Linked DNA regions of Xenopus tropicalis. The protein of the gene in region 1 purifies or fractionates together with the protein of each later gene. This does not show direct contact. Links are inferred from orthologs where the notes say so. Each region holds a gene or a part of one and is shown on either strand. Other genes may lie near its edges.

What was found. The genes of interacting proteins can lie anywhere in the genome.
Region 2: the proteins of krasl (region 1) and hspd1 purify together in Homo sapiens (affinity purification with mass spectrometry; 3 studies listed by BioGRID and IntAct, with this or other methods). This does not show direct contact. The link is inferred for Xenopus tropicalis from reciprocal best matches to the Homo sapiens genes KRAS and HSPD1.

What each region holds. Positions count from the first base shown.
Region 1 is NC_030679.2:2,101,512-2,105,703, reverse strand, and holds part of krasl (GTPase KRas), read left to right. Parts: intron 1-2,735; 5' UTR 2,736-2,748; coding exon 2,749-2,859; intron 2,860-3,668; coding exon 3,669-3,847; intron 3,848-4,003; coding exon 4,004-4,163; intron 4,164-4,192. UniProt on the Homo sapiens protein: Ras proteins bind GDP/GTP and possess intrinsic GTPase activity. Plays an important role in the regulation of cell proliferation.
Region 2 is NC_030685.2:46,506,293-46,510,129, forward strand, and holds the end of hspd1 (60 kDa heat shock protein, mitochondrial), read right to left. Parts: intron 3,267-3,837; coding exon 3,088-3,266; intron 1,193-3,087; coding exon 1,031-1,192; 3' UTR 658-1,030; downstream 1-657. UniProt on the Homo sapiens protein: Chaperonin implicated in mitochondrial protein import and macromolecular assembly. Together with Hsp10, facilitates the correct folding of imported proteins.

The sequences.
Region 1 (4,192 bases):
GAGCATTCTGTCACAGTGGCACAGATCCTATCTGATCCCTCCCATTGTAAGCAGCAGTCCTGCCCTGCTTTATGGCTGAGATTCTAGCTATCTGTATAACAGAGCATTCTGTCACAGTGGCACAGATCCTATCTGATCCCCCCCCCCATTGTAAGCAGCAGTCCTGCCCTGCTTTATGGCTGAGATTCTAGCTATCTGTATAACAGAGCATTCTGTCACAGTGGCACAGATCCTATCTGATCCCCCCATTGTAAGCAGCAGTCCTGCCCTGCTTTATGGCTGAGATTCTAGCTATCTGTATAACAGAGCATTCTGTCACAGTGGCACAGATCCTATCTGATCCCCCATTGTAAGCAGCAGTCCTGCCCTGCTTTATGGCTGAGATTCTAGCTATCTGTATAACAGAGCATTCTGTCACAGTGGCACAGATCCTATCTGATCCCCCCCCATTGTAAGCAGCAGTCCTGCCCTGCTTTATGGCTGAGATTCTAGCTATCTGTATAACAGAGCATTCTGTCACAGTGGCACAGATCCTATCTGATCCCCCCATTGTAAGCAGCAGTCCTGCCCTGCTTTATGGCTGAGATTCTAGCTATCTGTATAACAGAGCATTCTGTCACAGTGGCACAGATCCTATCTGATCCCCCCATTGTAAGCAGCAGTCCTGCCCTGCTTTATGGCTGAGATTCTAGCTATCTGTATAACAGAGCATTCTGTCACAGTGGCACAGATCCTATCTGATCCCCCCATTGTAAGCAGCAGTCCTGCCCTGCTTTATGGCTGAGATTCTAGCTATCTGTATAACAGAACATTCTGTCACAGTGGGCATATTGGAATGCCATCCCTGTAGCTTTTGCCCCCGGGGCAGCAGCTGAGTGACACTAATGTGGTTGTGACTAGTCAGTAACCTGGAGATGACAAACAGAGGGGTTGGTATTAACAAAGGGTCATGTGACAGGGGGACGGTGGGGGGTAGGAAGGTGCTAGTAGCACAGTTCTGCCCAAGACCCAGGTGCCTATTGTGTTTGGAAGGAAAGTGTGAGCTGTAGAACCGGTTGCACCAGCCTGGGCCCCGGTGTCTGGCCCAGATACCAATCTCGCCCGGGGGTGGGTACGGCTGTTTCACTTTATGACAGACGCTGTTGATTTAGCGGTTACAGAGAATCTTGTGTTTGTATGTGGCCGCATTCCTCTGGCGCATGATGCATTCTCATTGGCCGGGGGCCACACAGGTCATCCCCACAATTACACTTTATAGAGAGAGAACTTTGTTTTAAAGGGGAACTCCGCCCAAACGCTGGAAGGAAATCTTCCCAATATCCATTTATTGTGTCTGTCCCTTCCCTGCACTGCTGGTTCTGACTCCTGATACAACTCCCCAATACCCATTCATTCCTCATTCTCACTGGGTTTATAGTTATGTGTAACTGTCACTGTGTCTGTCTCTTTCCCTTCTCTGCACTGCTGGTTCTGACTCCTGATACAACTCCCCAATATCCATTCATCCCTCATTCTCACTGGGTTTATAGTTGTGTAACTGGTTCTGACTGTTTATATAACTGTATCCCTGTATGAAGCAGTGCAGGGAGAGCCCAGTTATACCCAGACCCAGTTATTTTAGTCCCAGAATTCAGTGGGGCACTGGGAGTCCCTGGGAGGGATGGGGCTGAGCCCTTGAACTTTGCGCTGCTATAAAGTAAATGCTTTAGTGTGCCGCCCTTACAGCAGCTCTATCAGTGACCCTGTACAGAGATAATGACTGAGATTTATTGCCATTTAGTAGGAATGGGCCAGATTGGTTCCAGGATTCTTTACTCCGATTCATTGTGCCCAGCAAATTGATATGTGACCCACTTGCAGTGGGTGCTGTAGGGGAGTGACCCCCATATAAGTGATCGGTACCCACCTATACATTATTGGGGGGGCGGGGCATCTTGTGGCTTTCCCTTAGGGTTTATGGGCTACTGGGCATTTGTCTGGTTCTGCCATCCCTCAGGACTAAATGCCAGCTGGGCTAGTGACATGTAAGGCCCATTACCTGCCCGGGACCAGCTCAACCAGTGGGTTGCAGGGATTCCCTTCCCCCCCCCTATACCAAAAGATATTGTGCCCAAAAGCCCCCCCCCAAACCCCCCGGAGTCCAGAATCTGCCCCACTACTCGTTGTTAGGCAGCAAAATGCAGCCCTGTCCAATAGGAGAAGGGAGCATGCAAAGCAAAAGAGCCCTCGATAGATTGTTAGCTCTTCTGAACAGTTCCTTAGTGTCTATAGAGGGCACTTGTTCTTTGCTTGCTCCCTGCTCCTATTGGACAGGGCCCTGTTAGACACTAAGGAACTGTTCAGAAGAGCTTACAGTCTAACGGGGCCCTGTCCAATAAGAGCAGAGAGCAAGCAAAGCACAGGCACCCTCTATAGACACCTAGTAACTGTTCAGAAGAGCTAACAATCTAAGTTTCTATAGAGGGTATCTGTGCTTTGCTTGCTCTCTGCTCTTATTGGACAGGGCCCTGTTAGGAACTGTTCAGAAGAGCTAACAATCTAACAGGGCCCTGTCCTATAGGAGAATGGAGCAAGCAAAGCACCGACTCCCTCTATAGAGACTAAGGAACTGTGCAGAAGAGCTAACAATCTAACAGGGGGAAGCAGACAAACACAAGGGTTTGGTTGGGCACCATTCTTGGGACTGAGGCTGATGGGAAATAAATTAACCCCTCGGTTACTGTTTATCTTTACAGATTTGGCGCCAAGATGACGGAGTACAAACTTGTGGTGGTCGGAGCGGGAGGCGTAGGGAAGAGCGCCCTCACCATTCAGCTCATCCAGAACCATTTTGTGGATGAATATGATCCCACCATAGAGGTAAGGCTGCTTCAGGGTGGGGGGGGCGGTCCTTAAATATTGGTCATGTGACCCCCCCCCCCAATACAGTACATTGGGCTCTGTGTAAGTGCTGGCTTCCCATACACCCTTAAATGTTCCCCTTTGAGTTAACATTTAGTTGGATGTAGATATGATATTCTGAGACAATTTGCAATTGGTCTTCTGCAGGTCATTGGTTGCTAGGGTCCAAATTAACCTTAGCAACCAGGCAGCAGTTTGAAAGAGAGACTGATATATGAATAGGGGAGGGGCTGAATAGAAATTTAAGGAATAAAAAGTAACAATAACAATAAAACTGGAGCCTCACAGAGCAATAGGTTTTGGTTGCTAGGGTCCAAGTTACCTTAGCAACCAGGCAGCAGTTTGAAAGAGACACTGCTATATGAATAGGGGAGGGGCCTGAATAGAAAGATAAGGAATAAAAAGTAACAATAACAATAAAACTGGAGCCTAACAGAGCAATAGGTTTTTAGTTGCGAGGGTCCAAGTTACCTTAGCAACCAGGGAGTGGTTTGGATGAGAGACTGGTATATGAATAGGGGAGGGGCTGAATAGAAAGATAAGGAATAAAAAGTAACAATAACAATAAAACTGGAGCCTCACAGAGCAATAGGGTTTGGTTGCCGGGGTCAGTGACCCCCATTTGAAAGGCAAATAATTCAAAAACTATAACAAATAAATAATGAAGACCAATTGAAAAGTTGCTTAGAATTAGCTGTTCTATAACATCCCACAGCAGGGGGGCCCTTGGCTAAAAGCCTCCGCTCATACCCCTTTTGCCCCCGCAGGACTCGTACAGGAAGCAAGTGGTGATCGATGGGGAGACCTGCCTGTTGGACATACTGGACACCGCGGGGCAGGAGGAGTACAGCGCAATGAGGGACCAGTACATGAGGACCGGGGAGGGGTTTCTCTGCGTGTTTGCCATTAACAACACCAAATCCTTCGAGGATATTCACCATTATAGGTAAGGGGCTCATTCTCTGCCTTATATAGATATTGGCTGCACTGCTGCTTCTGACTCCTGACACATTGTAGTAGAAGCAGCTGCTACAATGTGTGGAGAGTCGGAACCAGACCCGGTTGAGGACTGACCCGACGCACTTGCGTTATTTCCCCGCAGGGAGCAGATAAAGCGAGTGAAGGATTCGGAGGACGTGCCGATGGTTCTGGTGGGCAACAAGTGCGACCTGCCCTCCCGGACGGTGGACACCAAACAGGCGCAGGATTTAGCCCGGAGTTACGGGATTCCCTTCATCGAGACGTCGGCCAAAACCAGACAGGTAACGGGACGCGCTGCCCCCCAGCAAAT
Region 2 (3,837 bases), on another chromosome or scaffold:
TAGTCAACTTTATAATATCCATAGCTCGTTCTATATAGATGACATGGACATAGGGCTTCTGCTCCTGAGACTTAGATTGGGCTTGTCTAAGGCAGTGAAGAACATGCAATATAGGAGTCTGACAGACTGCACTAAGTGCTCTTCAGTAGTCAATATCCCCTTTAGAGCACAGAGAACTGCCTGCAAGCGGTTTGTACACACTCCCTCTCATTTCTACTTTCCTTCTATTGTGTAGGACTTCAGGACCTCAAAGACACCTCATTATATGGGCTCTCTAGAACAAGCTTCTCACTTCCCCAATTGAATTGATTGAGATCCAGAGAGTACTAAACCCTATTAATGTCAATCTCCTCATCTTTCTCAAAGGCCAACATGCCCAACAGAGAGGATCAGTGGGGCAAGACCAAAGACACTTTGTACGGCAACTTGATTTCACTTTAAGATAGGTTGGTCTAAATAAATTAACTCATCAGCTGTATATATATCTTTGATCGGGGTCTGCCATGAATAAGTTTTGTTAAAACCTCATCTGTTTAAAAGTTAACACTATTAAAAAGTAAACACTATTGTAAAAAAAGCAAGAAATAGAAAAAGAACAGTGCAGACAGCAAGACAAAAAACCAAAAAAAAAAACCAAAAAAACCTTACATTCGGAACTAATTTAGAGTAAACATAATTAATACATTTTTATTTTAACGTCTTTTAGATAGCCAGGATTAGACACTAACATTTAAATCTGGGCAGTAGTGGTAGTAAAATGTAAAAACTATCAATAAACTTGAAGCACTGGTAAAAATGACAATAGTTTAAACAAATGTTCCTGTAACAATGGCAACTACATAATTTTTCCGGAATGTACAAAGGTCTACCAAAAAAGAAAATAAATTACACAAGGGCATGAATAATGATAGCAGTAAACAGTTAAGTAATCTTAACCAACTTTTGAAACGTATCACCAGCTTCACGGTTCGGTTGTCTCAACATTTCAGAGCTTTTAACATGGGCATTTATCAGTTCTTAGTTTAAAAATTTAGAACATTCCACCTCCCATACCACCGGGCATGCCTCCCATTCCTCCCATTCCGGCCATGCCACCATCTTTTTCTTCTTTTGGAATTTCAGTCACAACTGCTTCAGCTGTTGTCAAGAGTGAAGCAACACCGGCAGCATCCATCAAAGCTGTCCTCACAACCTGTAAATCATAACACATCATTGTATGTGAAGCATAAATAAAATAAAATAGTCTCCACTGGGCTATTTTTCAAGCACACACATACATTTTCATATTATTATAAGATTATATTATATATAGGTGTGTGCATATATACTGCTTAGTAGATTATTACAGATTCAGTGTATATCAATACACAATATCAATGTGACAGACTGCAAAGTTGGAAGCAGGATAGTGGTCCCTTCTCAAGTAAATTATTAGAAATACCTAGACACCAACTGTAAGAACTCTATGGCAAGTGTGTGACATGGACATTTCATTGTAAGCTCTGGAATAAAATGTGTGCAGATGTCTGTGTAAGAACTAGGTTTTTAGAGAGTGTACCCATTAAACAGTAAAAATGTCATTCTACAAAAGGCCATAGTAATTATAACAGGGCAAGAAAATTACATTTAAATGTCATACATCTAAAAAATGTGCTTTATTAAATTGTTTTCCTACATGTATACAAGAAAGAAGTCAGTGTTACACTACCCACAATTTACAGAGGGCTCAGTTCAAGTTGTCAGTATCTGACATTATATAGCACTTAAGTTTGTTAACATTGCTTAAATATTTATTTTTATGATGTACTATGTAGGAACCTGGATAATGGTGTGGTAGTATACGAAGCTACTTAGATTTTACCTAGGCTTTTGATTACAACATATTACACTTGCTTTCTAAACTAAGCTGTTCTTGGTAATACTGCTTGCAACACAGATAGAAAACTGGCTAGAGAGAGAGAAATGGTTCTAAGCAGTACATCCTCCACCTGAAATAAGGTTCTTAGTAAGATGTCGCTAGGTTCTGTATTGGGTCCACTTTGATAATAATGTCCATTTAAAGCCATCACAAAACAAATTGAATCAATGCATTAGTGTTTGCCAATGCAGGAAAATGAAATCAATCCTGGATGCATCATCCTTGCAGGAGATCGGGATAAACTGGCAATCTGAACAGTTAAGTGGTAGATGTGATGTTAATAAACCTAAAGGTTTTGTACTTAAAATTTAGGCTAATGGCCCATGGAGTGAATTTGGGAATCTGATCAGCATACTGTCCTGGCTTGCTTAAAGGAATAGTTTGGTGCAAAAATGAAACTGGGTAAAATAGACTGCACAAAATAAAAACTGCTCTCTAAGCCGTTAGTGGTCAGTAACCAATCAGTGACTTTAGGGGATGCCACATGGGACATAACCATTAGGTTAGTTTGTGAGCATGTAAGTCAGATTGAACAGTTATGTCCCATGTGGTCCCCCCTAAAATCACTGACTGACTAAGGTTACAGAGCTGAAAGAAGAAAGTAGTGATCTGGCTATTATGTTGGACATCTGTCCACTTCCACCTTTAAAGATTACATTTTTGCCTAACTATATTAGAAATATTTTTTATTTTACAGTCTAATTTTACCCAGCTTAAATTTTTGCACTGAACTGTTAACTTTAAAAACCTCAGTGGCTGATGCTCGGTCTACAAAGTATTTCATGTAATTGCCAATTTTAGAAGCAATCCTGGACTTCTTTTCCAGAAATCCTTCTGCTTTGCAAACAAATGAGGACGTCTTTCCTAAACCAAACAGCGTTTCTAGTTGGAGTAAGGAGCTTTCCATGTAAAGCTGTGAAAAGGGTTCCCCCACAAAAAAAATGTTCTCTACCTGAAGTGCTTCTACTGGGAGATACAAGGTTACTGAATTAAGGGTATGAGGCAAATCAGGAGGTGGTTTAAGATTATGCCTCCCTTTCGATAATCTAGAACGTAGGAAGGTTCTATTTGGAAAAAAGCTGATCATGATGGACTACTATGGGTCTAGCTAACTGCACTAAGCCAAGAGAGATATAGATATATTGTATGTACTAATTTTATATTGTTACCTTTGTGGGGTCAATAATGCCTTTTTCCACCAAGTTAACAAATTCAGCATGCATGGCATCATATCCAATCTCAACTGGACTCTGAATGATCTTTTCTACCACTAATGATCCTTCAACACCTGCATTTTTTGCGATGGTCATTGCAGGAATCTTCAGTGTTCTCCTTATGATTTCAATGCCTGTTAAGAAAATATTAAATACAATTCCAACATTAAACAATCTCTTACAAATATGTAAAAGTAATCTGAAATTTAAGATACACATTCCATAAAATTAAAAATATTGTAACAAACTAGTCTATGATGCTCCACACCAAAAAGCTCCATCACAAAAATAATTAGCCACATAACATTTTAAGCAGGACAAGTTCATTTGTGGAGTTGAGTCTTCAATAAATGTACAAGCATCGGAGCACACCTTTGTGCATGCCGAGATCCAGGTTTGCTTGACAAACTAGCAATCTGGGCAGCTTAGTGGCAGATGAGATTTAATGTGTACCTCGCATGTAAAAATATGCAAGCCACTTACACTTAATGGGACTGCACTAGGCAAATCCATAATGGAGAAGGAGTCCTTGTAGATAATAAACTTGGCTGTAGCAAGCAATGCCAGACAGCAGCTGGCTAATACATTAGATAGTGTCAAGAATGGGTTAGATGGCTTTTTAGCAAGTGAGGGAATACAGGGTAATGGGAGATAGCTCTTAGTACAAGTTGATCCAGGGACTGATCCGATTGCCATCTTGGAGTC